Callithrix jacchus: one gene and its partner. The protein of the gene in region 2 binds, or shares a complex with, the protein of the main gene of each other region. Links are inferred from orthologs where the notes say so. Each region holds a gene or a part of one and is shown on either strand. Other genes may lie near its edges.

Region 1 (3,811 bases), on a different chromosome or scaffold from region 2:
GTTTCAGGAATCACATTTCCCCCTGTACAAGATAAAAAGGGATCTGATAGGTTGAGGATTAAGTCTTCCTTCATCCCATGTTCATGCAAGGCTTATCAAGACAATCTGCACTATTTGGGCTTATTTCTGGTATTTGCCTAGGTGCCTACTTCCCTTTGCTGCAACGCCAAGATTTCCCTTTGTAGTGATAAACAGGTTTCCACAAAATAGATTAGGAAGAGTCTGTGTTGGTCTTCTGTAAAATGGGGATATGAATAGTTCCTAGCTCATAGAATTGTTATGAGGATTGAATTAAGGCCTGCATAAGCCTTGAAGAAAATATACTGTTTGAGTTACTGCTTAATACATTTAATACCTTTATCATGTGTTCAGAACAGTCAGAAGAGGGCTGGTTTTTGTTGTGTAATTTGAAGATGAACACAGCCATCACCATGGCATTAGTGAAAAGAAAGTGACTTTAGTTAGAGAATGAGGCATGTCTCATATGGTATACTGTCCTTTCCTTCTTATCCTTTGTAAGCAGAGAAGAACTTTGTATTCAGTTAGCTAAGATGAAGAATAGTCTAGACATTATAGCACTTGCATCTCCAGCAAAGCTTCCTAACTTTAGAGCCTCTCAAAGCTTCTATCTTCTGCTATTCTCTCTGCTTTCAACTTTAACTCTTCCCACCTCTTTGCTTTAGAAATTTTCTTTCTTTTCTTTTCTTTTTTTTTGGAGACTGAGTCTTGCTCTGTTGCCAGACTGGAGTGCAATGACACGATCTCAGCTCACTGCAACCTCCACCTTCTGGGTTCAAGCGATTCTCCTATCTCAGCCTCCCAAGTAGCTGAGACTACAGGCGTGTGCCACCATGCCCAGCCAATTTTCCTATTTTTAATAGAGGCAGGGCTTCACCATGTTTGCCAGGATGGTCTCAATCTCTTGGCCTCGTGATCCGCCCACCTTGGCCTCCCAAAGTGCTGGGATTATAGGCATGAGCCACCGTGCCTGGCTTCTATTTTCTTTCCTTCTTTATTTCTTCTTCTTCTTTTTTTTTTTTTTTGATAACATGGGTGAATTTATTTGTTAAGATGTGAGTGCAAACTTAACTACAAAGACAAACAAAGCTTATCATCAATAATAAACACAGAAGCTAAATAATTCTCCAATCATGCATTTTAACAGAAAGTACAAATATGAATACATTATAATTTGTAACTTCATTTAAAAATTAAGCTATCTGTCCAAATCCAAACCACTACACAGTCTTTAATCTGTTCTCTTTTTCTTACCTTAGAAGCATTTGTCATATGCTATCAGGAAAATAGAGGCAAGAATTACTAATCAGTTCTTTATGATCAAAGAAACATTATTGTCATTAACTGTGGCTTTTTGAATCTTTTATAAATACCACACAGTTATACCTCCACTCTTGAGGAAAAAAAAGATGAATACAGAAATCAAGGAGGTTTGACCGTTCATGGAATTAAAGCAAAGTCACAAGTGTTTGACTTAGAAATGTCCATATTGTAAATTTTTAAAGTACAACTTTAGTTGATAGCTGATGTGTATGTAATAATTGTGAACAGTTTAAACAGGTATAAGAATGTGTGAACAAAATCTTTAGACTCAAATACTTGAAAAGTAGCTATGAGTATGGAAAGATTTGTTTACATAAACGTGTATATTTTTAGATGAAAAATTAGAAGGTAGTGGTATCTCCCTGGTCCCTTAACAGTATTTGGATTTTTGCAAAGAATTAGCAGCACCCATGCTTTCTATGTTATAACTAGTTATTCCTGCTTTTTTTCCTCCTTTACTTCCTTTCTTTGTTACCCATTCAACTCATTCCCCTTCACTGCTAATTCACAACCTAGCCACTGTTGCCAGGTCTCTGTGTTTATGACTGATTTGGTTTCCATTTTATCAACTAAAGCAATCATGCTGAACAGTCAGACATGAAATGGAGAAATTTAATATGACTTTTCTTGTTTCTATGTTTTCTGATTTTTTTTTTTTTTTTCTCAGTTTCGAGTATTTACAGCCCCCTTCCATAAGGTAGGCTTTGCTGATTTCTGGCTGGCCGATCAGCTGAACAGCCTGTCAGTGATACTGATGGACCTGGAATATATGATCTGCTTCTACAGTTTGGAGCTCAAATGGGATGAAAGTAAGGGCCTGTTGCCAAATAATTCAGAAGGTAGGGTATGAATTTGCGTCTATATTACTAAATTACCAGTGTAAACCAAGATAATATTGGGAAGGCTAAATGAGAAAATCAAGGTCATGATGAAACTTATCCAATAATATTACAAACTTAATTAAATGTACTTGGCATTCTGTTAGCAGTCTCTTTATCTGATATAATTTGTCTGTCCATTTGCCAAGAGATGTACAACTTACACTTGAAGAATTCTAAAACTTTTTTTGTTAAGTTCTAGTACATTGGTAGTTATATTGCAAATGCTTTCATGCCAACAATTTGTTGTCACAGTATTGCTATATAATGTAACATAGATACCAGTGATCAAAAATACTGATTATTTAGAAATAAATTAAGTGCCTTGAGAGTAATTACAGATTGGTTTTTAATTCTTAGTTGGGATGCTATTTTTCTTCTAGCTTTTTTCCCCACCCTTAGTTTATGTCAGGAGTTCAAGTTATTAAGGAATTTTGCCTTCATGACAAAGATCTAATTTAGATCGACTGTGTGACATGTGACTAACAAAAGTTAATGATGAAGCCAGTGCTGACACATTTTTATTGATTGCCAGTGGATCACAGCTCTGTTATAGTTCGATCATACTCAATTCTGAATTTCAGAATTCAAAGAAAAATTGATTTACCAACTCCATTCTTACTTAAACACACAGTTTGTTCTTGGTTTAAAAAAGAAGGGGAGGTGGATGTACAAGAGCATGTGCTCTTGGGTGTCTTGTGTTGTTGGTGGTTTGGAATTTACAGAATTGTCTAGAATCACTGGTGATACTTGTAGGTTTTCCAGATGTTTCAAATTACGGAGCCAACCCATTTTTCCCTCCTTCTATTAGCATACTCATCTTCTAATTTTCTTACAGTTTTATCACACTCCGAAGAGACGGATTCAAATTTCCCCACTAGTTCCCCTCAATATGTTTTACCTTCTCTCCTTGACTTATCCACCACTAAAATGCTTGAGAATAAGCTGGGCGCGGTGGCTCACGCCTGTAATCCCAGCACTTTGGGAGGCTGAGGTGGGCGGATCACTTGAGGTCAAGAGTTTGAGATCAGCCTGGCCAACATAGTGAAACCCCATCTCTACTAAAAATACAAAAATTAGCTGGTGTGCTGGTGTGCACCTGTAATCCCAACTACTCCGAAGGCTGAGGCAAGAGAATCACTGGAACCCGGGAGGTGGAGGTTGCAGTGAGCTGAGATTTTTGCCATTGTACTCCAGTCTGGACCACAGAGTGAGACTCAGTCTCAAAAAAAAAAGCTTGAGATGTATAATAGTTGCAAAGAAGAAAGTGATTCTGAAACCTAGGTTTCTTGCTTTTTTAGGCTTGGTAGTGGCTACACTATATGGCTGAGTGATGTGAATGAAGTTATTTTTTTAATTGTAATTTTTCTTCTTTGAAATGTTTACAGAATCAGGAATTTGCCACAAATACACATATGGTGTGCGGGCCATTGTTCAGTGCATTCCTGCTTGGCTTCGCTTCATCCAGTGCCTGCGCCGATATCGAGACACAAAAAGGGCCTTTCCTCATTTAGTTAATGCTGGCAAATACTCCACAACTTTCTTCATGGTGACGTTTGCAGCCCTTTACAGCACTCACAAAGGTATTCTGT
Region 2 (4,584 bases):
TGCTATATTGCCAAGGCTGCTCTTGAACTCCCAGCCTCAAGTGATCCTCCTGCCTTGGCCTCCCAAAACACTGAGATTACAGGTGTGAGCCAGCATGCCTGGCCTCAAACTAATTTACAAAGGGCTTTCTCTCTCCTTCATTCTTATATCCCCAGAACCTATTACAAATCTAGATCAAGTAGAAACGTAATAGAAAACTGTCAAATTGAGTAACTGCATAGGTTTACTAAAGATGCCTCTTCTGGAGGACTTTGCCCACTCACAGCTCCTGTTCCCTCAATGGCCACGTTCTCTACCATCAGCCATCCCCAGGGATGGGCATATTATGATCCATGGCATTAAACTGTTGAAAAAGATAAGCTGGGCCAATCAGACTTCTCTCTCTCTAGAACTGGGAATTAGAAACCAGAAACTGAGTCAGCGAATATGGGTCACCTATAAAATGATACAGTTCTGAGACAGTCAGTCGCAAAGAGAGAACACAACAGACATGAACAGAAAAGGGACTCTGCCTAAGAGAACAAATATGGCCCCTAGGAGGAGGTCAGGGCTGCAGTGAACCAAGATCACATCACGGCACTCCAGCCTGGGCAACACTACCAGACCCGGTCTCAAAAAAAAGTTGCCCCAGGGAGATGTAGAAAATGGAGCCACTTGGGATCCTGACTTCTTTTTTTTTTTTTTGAGACGGAGTTTCGCTCTTGTTACCCAGGCTGGAGTGCAATGGCGCGATCTCGGCTCACCGCAACCTCTGCCTCCTGGGTTCAGGTAATTCTCCTGCCTCAGCCTCCCGAGTAGCTGGGATTACAGGCACGTGCCACCATGCCCAGCAAATTTTTTGTATTTTTAGTAGAGATGGGGTTTCACAATGGTGACCAGGATGGTCTCGATCTCTTGACCTCGTGATCCACCTGCCTCGGCCTCCCAAAGTGCTGGGATTACAGGCTTGAGCCACCGCGACTTCCTGACTTCCTTCTGACCCTCGTTCAATCCTATAATCTCCTTTTCCTTGAAGTAAAAGATTAAGTTTCTGTTCTTTGACTTGTAAGCAGCCCTGACTAATACAGTAGCACATAAAATGGAGAAACTGACAGTTCTTCAGCAAAAGCAGGAAGAAGGGGATGGCACATTCATACATGATCCTATAAAAATAAGTCTCCTGGCAGTGTATGTGACCCAGACTGGAAAAACAAAGAATCAGGGCCCTAGATACCAGCTGAAGAACCACCGAAATAGCACACAGAAGAGGCAGTGGGAATGGAGAAGAAACGAGAGATACTAACTCGAAAATATAAAATCCCCAATATTTAAACTTTCTGACCTACCAAAATATCCAGAAGAGATATTCTGGATATAAAAACTAACCATGTGACAGATTGGAAAAGAAAGAACAGGTGGAAGATGACCAGATGACCAGCAGAGGTGACTGAAGAATGGAGCGGCCCTTAACAAAAAAAATTAAAAAAAAGAGCAGGAGACCTTTCTCTACTTTAGTTATGCCTCCCCCTCCCACCACCCCAGCTAGGTGAAGGGGGCTATAGGGTGCTTAGGCTGAATTTGAAATGCCCCAGAAGAGCTAGGTTGAGAAACCCACCCAATACTTGGAAAAATATATGGTTCACACTGTGTGTGAAAGATCTGGAAATCATTCACATAAAGGGTATAGAACAAAGATTCTCAAACTTATGTGCATCAGAATTAATAGGGAAGCTTGTCAAATACACATATCCCTTAAGCTCCTCCCCGAGAGAATCCCATTCCCTAGATTTGGGGCGGTGCTCAGAAACGGACATTTTAACAAGCACCCCAAAATGATTATGATGAAAGTAGTCCAGGCGAGTAGAGCCAAAGAGAACAAAGAACACACCTGGCCACAGCATTTCCCAACCCGGGCTCTGCACGCAATACCCACGGTGGTTTAAAACGGTGTAGACGTCTGGTCCTCAGTGTTGTCAAAATGTGGACAGGAATGAAACTCAAGGGGTGATTCCCGAGCCACACCTCTAGCCGAAAAAATGAGAATCTCTCAAACGCTAAGAAATCTACATTTTTAACACGTGCCCATAGGGAGCAGAGATGACTGCATAGTTATTAATTAAAAAAATCTTCATCTGTTTAAACCTACCGACTTGAAAGAATAAAAATTCCAAGATTACAGAGTGAAGAAACGACTGTCCTATAAATAAATCTTGAAAGCACGGAAATCAATGGCTTGCACCATGTTGTCAAGGCGTTTAAAAGCCTGCACAGGACAATGGAGCAATGGAGTCCACGATGACCGCGAGGGAGAAAACAATACCTCCCGGCCCAGGGAAGCCTAGGAAGAGAAACCCATAACGACTAGCGGTACCAGCTGAGGGGGATTCTCGAGGTGGTGGATGCACTAGAGGCTGCCTGGCAAAAGAAAAAAGAAAAACGATTTTACCAACACCCTTAACCTCAGCCCACCCTACGGGTCCCTGAGGAGACAAAACACCTGAGATTCCAAAGCCGAAGACCTTCCAGGCGCTCGAGCAAACGCGGACTCGGCCCGAAAGCCGGGGCCCGAGCGTCCCGGGCCCGCGCCAGGCCCTACCCGAGGCCCGCGGCCACAGCGCGCCCCTCCCGCGCGCTCCCCGGCTGTCCCACCTACCCACCCGGCTCCCCAGCCCGGCCTCGGCCCCGCCTCCCCCCCCATCCGCGGCAAAGCCCCGCGAGCCGGCCTCCACACTGACCGACTCACAACCTGGTCCTCAGCTCGGGCGGAACCGGCCCGCTCGGCTGCAGGCGGTGTCAGAGGACGGGAAAGCAAGAGACAGCGACTGCAAGCGCGTCGCCCTCACCACACCCGGCAGCCATATTCTTCCCTCTCAGCGAACTGACAGATCACGTGGCCTGGGGCAGGGGCGGGGCTCCGGGTAGCCACGCTCCCTGGGCGTGGAGGGGAGGGGCGTAGAGCAGGCGGGGCAGGAGGGGCCGTGGGGCAGGGACACCCGGGACAAGGTTTTTCTCTGTCAATGTCACCCTCATTACAGTTAATTTATGATCTCTATTTGCCATTACAATCAAGCTTCTTCAGAGAAATAATTATAACTTCAGAAGACACTGCACACTCATGAGACATGAAAGCCTGCTTAGCAGCCTTCTTCCGGGTAAGACCTCCGCCTTCCACAGAGCCTGTGGTTTACATTCCTGGCCTTCCAAGGCTCCCACCTCCTCCCCTCACTCCTTCAGCCTCCACATTCCTAGGCCTTGCTGCCAACAAGCGTCAGTCTGGATTTTTTAAAAGATCCACGGATGATTACGACGTGCATAGGTTGGGAACCATCGAAAAGCACCCACTGATGTGTCAACCTGGCAACTCAGGAAAAAGCCAATAAGGAGCCTGGCTTCATCAGAAGTTGGTGTGGGCTGGGTACACGGTCTTACACCTGTAACCCCAGCACTTTGGGAGGCCAGGACAGGGGGATGCCTTGTGCTCAGGAGTTTGAAAACAACCTGGACAACATGGAGATACCACATCTCTTAAAATATATATATAGCCGGGCGCGGTGGCTCACGCCTGTAATCCCAGCACTTTGGGAAGCCGAGGCGGGTGGATCACAAGGTCAAGAGATCAAGACCATCCTGGTCAACATGGTGAAACCCCGTCTCTACTATAAATACAAAAATTAGCTGGGCATGGTGGCACGTGCCTGTAATCCCAGCTACTCGGGAGGCTGAGGCAGGAGAATTGCCTGAACCCAGGAGGCGGAGGTTGCGGTGAGCCGAGATCATGCCATTGCACTCCAGCCTGGTAACAAGAGCGAAACTCCGTCTCAAAAAAAAAAAAAAAAAAATATATATATATATATATATATATATATATACACACACACACACAAAATACAAAACTTAGCCGGGTGTGGTGCTGCACACCTGTAGTCCCAGCTACTTAGGAAGCAGAGGTGAGAGGATCTCTTGAGCCCAGGAGTTCAAAGCTGCAGTGAGCTGAGATCACACCACTGCACTCCAGCCGGGGCAACAGAGACCCTGTCTAAAAAAAAAAAAGAAGTTGGTGTGTTCCTCATGAAACAAGGAGTGAATACCTCACCGGGTACAGTGAAGTCCTAAATGGTGTGAGTTCTTCAATAACGGCTTGCTAAGGCCAGCCACTGTTGTAAACATGGGAGGATGGGTCAGGGGTGGGGGGTTGGAAGTGTGGTAGGTGTATTAGTCTGTTTTCACACTGCTATAAAGAACTGCCTGAGACAGGGAAATTTATAAAGAAAAGCAGTATAATTGACTCATAGTTCTGCATGGCAGGGGAAGTCTCAGGAAACTTACAATCATAGCAGAAAGGGAAGCAAATATATCATTCTTTACATGGCTGCAGGAAGAGAAGTGCAGAGCAAAAGGGAGAAAAGCCCCTTATACATCTAACAGATCTCATGAGAATTCACTCACTATCACAAGAACAGCACGGGGAAACCGATGCCATGATCCAATCACCACCCACCAAGTGCCTCCCTTGACACAAGGGGATTATGGGGAATACAAGTCGAGATGAGATTTGGGTGGGGACACAGAGCCAAACCCTGTCAGTAGGATATAAGGATGAAGTCA

What was found.
Region 1: the proteins of KIDINS220 (region 2) and XPR1 are in contact, whole or in part, in a cryo-EM structure (PDB 9JXQ), measured with the Homo sapiens proteins. The link is inferred for Callithrix jacchus from reciprocal best matches to the Homo sapiens genes KIDINS220 and XPR1. Residues at the interface, in NP_065789.1 of Homo sapiens: Glu36, Cys37, Gln39, Asp70, Trp72, Met102, Trp105, Trp110, Tyr113, Lys114, Val138, Ile142, Trp143, Gly146, Arg147, Ser166, Asp167, Lys168, Tyr169, Gly170, Trp176, Arg179, Lys180, Gln198, Glu199, Gly200, Ala201, Ser203, Lys234, Arg267; in NP_004727.2 of Homo sapiens: Leu95, Lys189, Lys190, Gln193, Glu197, Ala200, Asn204, Glu205, Ala636, Asp637, Asp638, Leu641, Leu642, Gln644, Met645, Met646, Asp647, Gln648, Asp649, Asp650, Val652, Arg653, Asn654, Arg655.

Annotation. Positions count from the first base shown.
Region 1 is NC_133519.1:22,601,713-22,605,523, reverse strand, and holds part of XPR1 (solute carrier family 53 member 1), read left to right. Parts: intron 1-2,008; coding exon 2,009-2,180; intron 2,181-3,607; coding exon 3,608-3,802; intron 3,803-3,811. UniProt on the Homo sapiens protein: Inorganic ion transporter that mediates phosphate ion export across plasma membrane.
Region 2 is NC_133515.1:106,106,020-106,110,603, reverse strand, and holds the start of KIDINS220 (kinase D-interacting substrate of 220 kDa), read right to left. Parts: upstream 2,860-4,584; 5' UTR 2,715-2,859; intron 1-2,714. UniProt on the Homo sapiens protein: Promotes a prolonged MAP-kinase signaling by neurotrophins through activation of a Rap1-dependent mechanism. Provides a docking site for the CRKL-C3G complex, resulting in Rap1-dependent sustained ERK activation.